2 linked regions of the Drosophila melanogaster genome follow. The protein of the gene in region 1 interacts with the protein of each later gene in a pairwise test. Each region holds a gene or a part of one and is shown in the gene's direction. Other genes may lie near its edges. The genes, in order: CG9636 and cora.

Region 1 (5,684 bases):
TACTGTCAGTTTTCCAGTTTCATTTGATAAAGAATATAACGACAATTCTCATTTTATATAAAATGTGTCAAATAAAAAAATATATAGAAATAAAGCGGATTCATTTAATATCACACAGACTGTATGTATGTATCTATTAACTAGACCCTGAGGCCGTTGCACGGGTAAGGCGGTACTTTTGCACTGCGTAGTGCGCTCCCTCCTCGGAGGTCAACTGATCCACGTACTCCTCCTTCACGAATCGATTGCTCACCGCATTGAGCGAGTCCTTGATAAAGCCAAAATGCACGATGGCATTTGGAACAAAATTCAGCTCCAGGAGCGTCTCACCGGAGGGCAGCACCTTCTTCGGTGGAATGGTGAAGAGATGGAATTGCTCACCTGGCTGAACCAAAAACTCCCGAACAAAATCCTCCACCTTGGAAAGGGGCTCGTGCGGCTTAAACATGCCCTGGAGCACGAAGCGATCGGGAAACTGAATGCGCAGCACACAGTCCTTGTACTGGTTAAGCTTAGCCAGCATGGCCTTTTGGCGCTCCAATTCCCTTAGCTTTGCTGTCAGCAAGGGAGCGTCGTCATCTCCGCTCGACGTACGCTTTAAATCACGGAGTACCATCTTCAAATCGTTGACGGTCAAGTCGAAAAATGAGTCCGGCAGGTCATTCGCATTTTTCTTGGATTCGTCCAAGGAAAAGAGTACAGCCTGGCGTGGCCCAATTATTTTCACCACTGGTGGAGCCCTGCCTGGATTCTCTTCGACTTCGTTTTCTGCCTGCTTCTGCTCGGGAGGGTGGTTCATTAAGTATCCGGAACCATTGCCCCAGTCATATTTAGGTGGTTCTGGCTGAGGCTGCTGCTCTTGATTGGATTCCCCTAAGGGCTTGGCTGGTTCGCTACCGCTGGCCTTTTCTTCAGGAGCCGTGCGTTTCAAATTCTTGATCATGTTGCTGGTAAGAGCAAATCCACCTCCTCCTCCGCTGCCACCAGCTGCCATTGCAGAGCGGGAGGTACTGGGCTGGTCGTCATTGTCCACCCGAGGCTTGACAGCGGGAGCTTTATACACATTTGCCTGGGTCTTAAGGTCCTCGGGTTTTTTGTCGATAAGACGCATCATGGCACGACCCTCGAGGATTCCTAGGGACTTAAGAGTGGTCTGTCGCATCTGCTCATGTCCTATGACCTCGCTGCGCATGTAGATGATGACGGGGCTTTCGTAAGCCTTTACATGTGTTTCGCAAAGCTTCTCGACCACCAGCCATATGGTGTCGTTGGGCGAGAAGTCCCCTTGCTGGCGGGAACCGTCGTTCAATTGGACGCAGACAAGAACGTTACTCAGTGTGCGCCGCTTTTCTGTTTGCTCCATCTCCAGGACACAGTTGTTAGGCAGGCCACTAAAACGGAACTGTTGCGTCAATCCGACCACCTTGTTGTGAAACTTGAGGCAGTGCTCCTCCGCATCGTAGCCGTGCTTGAAGCAGGCCGTCTCCAGAATCTCCAACAGCGTCATGTTCGCCGTCACGTTCACATTCTGCCGCCGACCATTGGGCAGCAGGACTGTTACGCGCTTGTCCATCGGATTGGCCACTTCCCTACAAGGATACGTATCTGTATGGCAGCTACGAGGTAGAGGCAAAAAAGACTCACCTCTATAGACTTTTAAAGAAGAGACTACGTTCCGGAACTTGCCGGTTGGAATTGGGGTTGTGGGTGTACGTCTATCGATATACCTTAAATTTGTTTACTGCTTTGCGTGACTTTCGCTTTTCCTATTTTCATTAGAGATGCGCACCGTGATTGATATCGGTTAGCAAGAGTTTAATTTCTAAATTTTTAACTTTTACGTTTATAACCGCCCAGTATAATTACTTGAAATATATTATAGTATAAAAATTAGCAAATTACCGATCGTCAATATAACTCATTAAATTCGAAGCCACTTATCGATAGACTTCTGTTCCTTATATCCCAATCGATAGGAGCAGCCTGTGTATCGGAGTATTATTGATTGCAGCAGGAAGAAGCAAAAGAAAGGCGCAGCTAGCTAAATCAAAACTATTCAAAACGGAATTTGCAATAAAACTAAATTATAATTCAGTAATACGACTGTCAGAGGACATGCTCTAAGTTCCGGGGAAGTCCCCATCTAGTGAGTTTCAGCATTTTGAGTGACGCCCTGCGTGGGAAACTTTTTGATTACCGCCGATCCAGCAAGAGACACTTCGAGAAGTCCATTTAAACTATATAGCCATTATGACCAATTTAGAGAAGCAGCACGAGATGGTGAAGCGTAGCCTGGTGCAGTTTATCAGCGGCCACATTCCGGGTGCCGACTTTAGTGTTGTGGACGAAATCGTGCTTTCGTACATTATTTCGATTTTGGAGGAGGCATCCCAGGATCCATGCTTCGATGTTGAGGGCTTTGTGGAGATGATGGGAGCCTACTTCGAGGAGTTTTCAACCATTGACCAGGGCATCATCTGTGACTGGATCTACAAGCTGGCCAATGAGCTTACCGATATGGAGAAAACCCAGGAAAACCCAGACGCCGTCAACTTATCGCTAAAGTACGTTTTCATTCTCATTCCTATGCCAGAAACATTTAATATAAAATATTTTTACAGCTCCCTGAGCCTCTCCAGCATTATTCCGGAGTCCAAGCTGCGTGCTCGCAACTCGTCAACTTCCGAAAAAGACGAGCTCTCATCGAACAGCAGCAGCAGTGGCGGCTGTGGCGGCAACAAGCGTTCCCAACATCTTTCGGAGACTAGCGATGGAGGTTCCACCGACAGCTCCAGCTCCACTTGCGACTACTTCCTGGACGAGACTGAGGTGCTCCAGGAAATGTTTCCGGATTCGGCAATAGCCGAGGTAAGTATTAGTTTATGGTGAAATTTAAAGAATTTTGTAATACTGTGTAATGAATTTAAATCCATTTCTAGATCAAACACTGCATCGCAATTTCCAAGGGGGACATCGATAGCGCCACCCAGATTCTCTTGCATCGTCAAGAGACGAACCAGTGTATTACTGACAAGTCGCATACTACTTATATGAAGAAGAATGTAATCGTCGACGATAATGAACTCAAGAATCGTATTATCGCTAGGTAAGTGTACACCTTAAAAAGCAAATAAACATAGCAGTATATTGAAGTGGATATCAACTTAAAATAGCCAAACGTAAAATATTATTTTTTTGACCCCATCTAGGTACTCCTATGTTGACAAGAATGCCACCCAGCGCGAGTACAAGCCGGTGGTACCGAAGATGGAGCCTCGCAAGCTGGTTCGCTACCGGGACAATAAGATCGTATCGCTTAAGGGCGAGCGGTACACCGAGATTAAGCGTGACGAAGATGCTGAGTTAAAAAAACCCAAGAAGCAGATTCAACCGTAACTAAAGAGGAACAAAACCCTCTTCAAGTATTTTATCAAAAAGCAAATTAATACACACCCCAATAACTTATCCGCACCCACGAAAACGATCTTCGCCAGTAGCAGTAGCTGCAGATCCAACGTCACCAACAACAGCAGCCATCCCGAAATCGAGCACAGTGTGTGCAATCATATGCATATTGTTGGGCTGAGCGCCGCCAAAAGCCATGTCAGCACCTATTCCAGCTTCACCACACCAGTGATCCCCGCCAAGCTTAGCCAATGTTTAGACGCTTCCCAAGACGATGACGATGAGCAGCGAGAGTTTAGAGACAAAGACGAGACACCGAGCACAGCGAATCGGTTCCCATATCCGAGTGAGTATGGTGCAGAGTTTGTGGCATCTGCCGGCATGTTGGTCATACTGTTGCTAGTTGGCCATTGCCACAGGACCTTGAGCCCTCATCGCGCCAATGCCCATGACAAAGACACAAAGACTTTACATACCAAATTAGTTGATAGTTATGCTTTAGGACTACTCGCTTATGCAAATTTTGAGAGCCCATCCATCGCGGCCGCCTGCTTATGAGTCTCGATGCTGGGAGCAGGCGGTTCAGACGGATCTGGACATGGATCTGTTTCCGTTGCCAGTCGTCAATTATGACGACTGGGGTCGCGCCTGCGCTGTGACTTTTCCTTAGTTCCTTACGCAAGCGAATTCAAATCGAACCGTATCTGTGAAAATCGTGAATCTCAAACTCTTGAATGTCCTCGAACAGTATTGTTAAACATACTTCAGTCCCTAGGATCAGACGCAGGTGCGACACCAAAACCGAATTTGGCGCTCAAATAGACTTATTTAGACGTTTTTAGGTACTCGAATTGATAAATTTTGTTGGCCGTGTGCGTGTTTTTGAAAAGCGCAGCTGCACAAGTAACTTGCCATATCTGTTTAAGATCTGTTAACCCATTTTGTATCGTGTAACTCGTTTTGTTTTTCTCTGGTCCAAGCTAACTAGCAAGAGTAAACTAGCAACAATGCCACCAAAGCCACATGCAACACAAACTAGTCCTCACCGCCCACTGAGATATCTGGAACCCATAACAATTCGGCTACTGCTCGGTGTAAGACAGCAATACTAACAATAATATAAACGTATTCACCATATGAACTAATCGAATAATCAACTATTTATACAGCGTAGCCTACCCCAAATCCTTCCCAATGATTGTAATGATTGTAACCTACAATATCTCGGCAGTCCCACGCCCTATTCATGTTAGATGTAAGCAACCGAAATATTTTTCGGCAGTTATTACTTTTACACTTTTTGTTTGAAACAAAAGATATTTACCCATTTTATATTTTTTTTGTAACTCAGAATTTAGCTTAAGTTTTTAATCCTGACCACCGCTTAAATTTACGTATCGAACTGCATTTAAGCACATGAGTTTTTTATATTTTTATTCAGCACCACGCTACAAATGTTTCAACCATCACATATTCGTATTTATGTTTACCTTGTTTTGGTTTGATATGCACTTCTTTTATTTTAGTTTTATTTTATATATATTAATATTATTTTTTGTGATAATTTAAAAAAGGCAAAACACTCGAATTAAACTTTTAAAATAATTAAATAAACTACTATCAATATTTAACGCATAAACATTAGAGTTTTGAACATGTGCCTAATGTTTGAAATTTGTATTCTATATTTAATGTGTTGGTACTTTTGGTAAGTAGTATAATTTAGAAATTAACTATAATTCAGAGATTCAACAGAATTATGAAAATTAGCTAAAAAGGCTTTAAGACTAGCTATATAGGCGGCACTGTTCCGATGAACTGGTTCGGTTCGTTGGCCGTACATATAAGAATTCTCAGTAGAGCAATATGGCGTTGACTTCGCGTCTGGTCACATTACTGGCATAGGTTTTTTTCGCACAACTCATAATTGTCGTGAAAATCCAGGTTTTGGCCCAAAATGACCACAATCGCGGATTTATTCACAAAGTATAATTGCACAAATTGCCAGGATGATATTCAGGGCATTCGAGTGCACTGCGCGGAGTGCGAAAACTTCGATTTGTGTCTGCAAGTAAGTAACTCACACATACACGCCGTCGAGCGACGCACGTATACATGTTGCAGTAGGGTGGTTCGCTCTTTTTGAGGTTCTAGATACTTGTATATAGATTTGTAAATAATAAAAATCAGTTATTTTAACAAAATATTCTTGAATCACCCTCTTTGGATGGTCAAACTAATGGCCATATGGCCTCAATCCTCTAAATTAACGTCACCCA
Region 2 (4,884 bases), on another chromosome or scaffold:
GTTGCCGCCAAGAAGAAACCAAAGAAGAAGAAACCCAAAAAGAAGAAGGCCGCTGTGCCAAATGAAAATCTGAATGTGAACAAGGCAGCTGAAAAATTCACTTACCGGCAGGGCAGAGGACCTCTTGCCCCGCCCCAAGACTCCTCGGATGATGACTACGAAGATGTGGAGGATGGCATCCGGGCCATGCACAAGGTGAAGTCCGGAAGAATAGAGAAACAGCGACCACCAACGCAGGCCACAAAAGGTGGCAAAAAAGAACTGAAACTGAAACCCGAACTGGCCCAGGCGGCTTTGGAGGCCATGGAGGCCACCAGCTCAACCACGCCGGCTGCAAACTCGTTGGCCAGTAAGCTGCAATCGGAACTCCTGGGCGGACGTTTCCGATACATCAACGAGCAGCTCTACTCGACGACCAGTCGCAAGGCGGAGGCACTTTTCCGCAAGGATAGCTCCGCCTTCGAGGCCTATCACGCTGGCTACCGCCAGCAGGTGGAGAAGTGGCCCATCAATCCGCTTAATCGCATCATCAAGACCATCAAGAAGATTCCCAAAACAGCCATAATTGGCGACTTTGGTTGCGGCGAGGGCAAATTGGCACAATCCGTGCCCAACAAGGTGTACTCCATGGACTTGGTCGCTGCTCGTAGCGACATCATTGCCTGCAACATCACGGATACTCCACTCCAAGCTCGAACTCTGGACGTGGCCGTATACTGCCTCTCACTAATGGGCACGGATCTGAACGAGTTCTTCCTGGAGGCCAATCGAGTGCTCAAGCTGCACGGCACTGTCTATATCGCGGAGATTCAGTCGCGATTCCAGGATGTGCGGGAGTTTGTGCGTTGCCTCAATGCATGTGGATTCGATCTTAACAAGAAGGATGTGGCTGTTAACTATTTCTACTTCTTCCAATTCAAGAAGATGCGTCATGTGCCCAAGAACACCAAGATGAAAGCTTTCTCTCTCAAACCTTGCTTATATCGCAAGCGATAGGATGTTATCCTATTCAGATTAGTAGATTTCCGACTTTGCGAACTGTTAAAGAAACCAAGACAGCGAATGCAATTATAGATAGTTACATTAATTTTATGTAGGAGAAACCGCAATAAATTTGGAATTCTTACAAATGTGTTTTGATCTCTTATTATTCGGTCGAAAATATACAAATTGATAATAAGGCGCGATAATTTAGCAACAAAAAAGGGCACAGATTAAAAATGTATGTCGAATACATAGCGCCTTGATATATGCGACAAAAATGTATAAAAGATAAAAAATCACTCGAATTTCCATTAGAGGTCATATAATTTTTAAAAAATTTAACGATTGAAATCGGACCATACATTTATTAAGAAAACATAGATTTATATACATTTTGTAGCGATATCAAACAGCGCTATTGCTATAAACATTTGAAAAGCAAACCGAAGCACTCAGATGAACCAACGGCATTTGCCAGCACTGCAACCACTCGGTGGTGGTTTCTCAGCAAAACTCAGTGGTCTCAACTGAAATCGACTCAAATCCAAATCGAGCAGCGGCAAGCGGATGGCTCTCAGTTTCAGTTTTCGGTTTCAGTACCAGTTTGCTCTTCGTGCACAGCACATCGAATATTTGTGAAGACGGTACGTTTTGTGTGATCGCGCTGCCAGAATTGTGAGAAGATTTGTTGTTTGGCCAGCAGCAAAGTAATTGCAAAACGGCGACGAGCGGATAGAAAAGAAAAGCGCGCAATTCGGCAGCAGTGTGTTTATAAATAAAATGGGAAATTAATTTATTAGCAACCACTATTCGCGCATTTTCCGCCCACGCCCACCCCGCTCTCTATTATACCCCTGAGCCCAACCCCCCTCACAGCACACACACCCCTTCAACTCCCACTCTTGCGTTCTCTATTACTCACTCAAAGAAACTCAACGTCAAATTTTCAACAGGTATTCAACGACGACGACGACGACAACAACAAATTGTCTTTTTTCGCGAACGAATAGAAAAAAGTGGCAAAGAATTTGTTTACTAGTGTGAAAGCGAGTGAGTGCAGTGCCCACGGGAGAAAAGTGAAAACAACACAAATACAGGAGTAAAAATCAGCCAACCGCCAAACTAACGGTAACTGCGTGTCCTTGCTGTGGATTAAAAAGGATTCTAGAGGCGTCTTAAAAGGGTGAGTACAATTTGGGGATTGCGACATAGGTTAATTACATTTTTATTCAAGTTTTTTTCTTTTGGGCTGTGGTCGGGAGTTTTTGGTGGCTTATGTTTTCGATACCAACACAAGCGCAGAATGACTTGGGCAGTATGACTTCATAGCACACACCACACACACACACACACACCCGAAAGCAGAGTTAATTGAGAGCAGCTTTGCGAGCGGGAGCGAAAAGAGAGCTCGACTCACTCACGCGGCATTTGTATCTGCGTATCTGTATCTGTGAGCTGTCAAGCTTTTCGAGTGTATCTTTTGGCACGATATTCTTATTCTTTCGACTTCTTGTTTTTGTCAACTCGGCCCACATTGTTGTTGTCGCCAGCTCTCTTTTGATTTTGCCTCTGTCTTTGCCTTACTCCAATTTTCCTTCTTCTGTGTTTTCCTCGTTTGCTTCGCATTTCGGGGCGCAGGGTGGGAAATTCTTATTGGGCCCGCGGTAGTCAAGGAAACGTTCCACAACACCGATCGGATACAAATGTATCTCAAAGGTAGTTTCGTTTAGCAGTGAACTTTAAAAAAGGGGGCAAATACTTTATATCTTTATAAAACCTACTCAGTATCGGTAAAACTACAACGTATGTATGTATATGTATCTCAAAGATACGCATGTGGAAAGGCATACAATCACTTTTGAATTCTACGCAAATTGAAAAGGTTATTCATAATGATGATTATGAATAGAAAACTTCTTAAGTGTAAATATCAATTGAGTAGAATTTATACTTTGAATTTATATTTTAAAGAAGGCCAACTACCAACCGAAAAATCAAAATTCCTAGAACTGCGCACTTTATGAAACCGATTCCTTTCATTTCCTTCTCTCGCTTAAATATAATTTTGGAATTTCGTCGCATTCATATGGCATATATAATAGTTTCATATGGCGGCTAAATTCCCCAAGCATCAAGACGTCACTGTTCCCAAAATAGAATCCATTGGGTTTGCGAGCAGGTTTCCACATTTCTTATCACAACATTGAGCGCTTTTTGCATTGGCATTTTTCATATGTTTGATATCGGCTGGGGTAAACAACGTCGGTCTTTATCCCAGCCACTAGGAAACATGGCTAAGATAAGATAAGGCCACCACAACAAAGGCCAGTTATGAATGGCAGGTGACTGGTGGCGATATTTTAGGTGTCCCCTCATCCCCCATCCACTGAGTCACGGCACGATTTTCACCATCCCCGGAAAACCTGGGGCGTTGACTTGGCAACCAAAAAACCGTTCTTCGAAAACCGCTGTTTACGTGAAGTCTTTTTTCTTCCACCTTTTCCGGGAGGTGTGGGCTTTGACCCAAATAGTAAGAAACATTAACATGTAGACTTCGTCTTCTTGGCCAGGCCATGCAAAGTGGGAATGGAAACGAACTGGCTAACATGAGGTTGAGCTTGCATTAGAAAAGAAAGAAATAAAAAAAACCGGTTGTTGCTGGCCAAGAAGTTGGCTGCACAGCAGACAAACAGATAAAGCAGCCGAGCAAAGCAAACGAGGAGTGCCAGCCAACTGAATGCCAATAACTGTACAACCAGCGAGTGGAAAACTATACTACAAAAATCTGGAGAGTGAGAGAGTTTCGGAGGGCTAACGACTTGGCAGCACGCGAATGAACATGGCTAAAAAAAAAACAAAATGAGTCGGAATCAGAGCCCCCTCGAAAACCTGAATTCGAACACGACTCCGAATTCGAGCGTTACCAACTAGGTGTGTCTTCCAGCGTTAGAAGCTCCCAGAGCGCGTCTCTCCGTATTCTCTCGGATTCTCTCGTCGGAAAACGGAGACTAAGCCCCAACCAGCGATTTTCCAGCGTGGCCAGATCGTTGTTAAGATTGGGGATCTCACCTACTATGTGTAGCACTTAATATCTTCATCTTTATGAATCCTCTTTAGAATCGCTAGCTATTCTTAGTTCACCGGAAGATTTCCACCCTCCTTCAGCGAGGTGAAAAACCAATCTAATCTTTCAACAAACTTAATCGGATGGAAGGCAGCTTTTCCAGCCCCCTTTTTAGCCAATCAGTTTCCCTCTTGCGCTCCTCCTAAATGCCCATTCGATTTTCCGTTTTCTATTTTTATTCCTTGTCGCATCGATTTTTACTTGTGCGGATGGGGCGTCTATAGGTCTATGATTAATGTGCAAAGCGCTGAAGTGGACAAAATTCTCCTCGAGGGCGGTTCGTTTGTTTACTTTCTCCGCCCTTCGCGACACTTTTTCCCTCACCTTCTGGGCAGAAATCAAAACGCGATGTGCATGTGGGTGCGGCATACCAACACAGTGAAAAATATTAACCTAAAACCACTTATTCTGTTCTACTAAATAAAATAGTTATGTTCCTTAAACCAAAAAATTGTTTCAACCCTTTTCTATATTATATATATTATTTTAAAAAGACTTGCATACGGATACAACATCTAAAATGATTTTGGTTCAGCTTATATTTTATGGTGTTGAAATAGCAGCAACTGTGGATGCATTTCAGAGTTCGTTGGCCAGGCGAAGTCAAATGCTTTAAATAGCCATTGACAGTGGAGAACTGATGGTGCCGGGTGGTGGAGCGATGGTGGTGCAGATGGCTATGTGTGGGTGTGATCCAGTGCGGTTATGTCGCCTTGTCATCCGAACGTCGATCATAGCGGTAATTAGTCAAGCGACACACTGCTCCACAGAGCCGT

What was found.
Region 2: the proteins of CG9636 (region 1) and cora interact in a two-hybrid assay, tested with the Drosophila melanogaster proteins (one large-scale study listed by BioGRID).

Annotation. Positions count from the first base shown.
Region 1 is NT_033777.3:8,240,102-8,245,785, reverse strand, and holds CG9636 (uncharacterized protein), read left to right. Parts: upstream 1-1,993; 5' UTR 1,994-2,250; coding exon 2,251-2,564; intron 2,565-2,621; coding exon 2,622-2,868; intron 2,869-2,939; coding exon 2,940-3,106; intron 3,107-3,209; coding exon 3,210-3,396; 3' UTR 3,397-5,039; downstream 5,040-5,684. Other genes in the region: CG33722 (uncharacterized protein), read right to left, coding at 137-1,573; Ada2b (transcriptional adaptor 2b), read left to right, coding at 5,363-5,476.
Region 2 is NT_033778.4:19,227,487-19,232,370, forward strand, and holds the start of cora (coracle), read left to right. Parts: upstream 1-1,576; 5' UTR 1,577-1,628; intron 1,629-1,937; 5' UTR 1,938-2,167; intron 2,168-4,884. Other genes in the region: CG7137 (uncharacterized protein), read left to right, coding at 1-996. UniProt on the Drosophila melanogaster protein: An integral component of the septate junction. May play a role in cell-cell interactions that are necessary for proper development. Vital for embryonic development.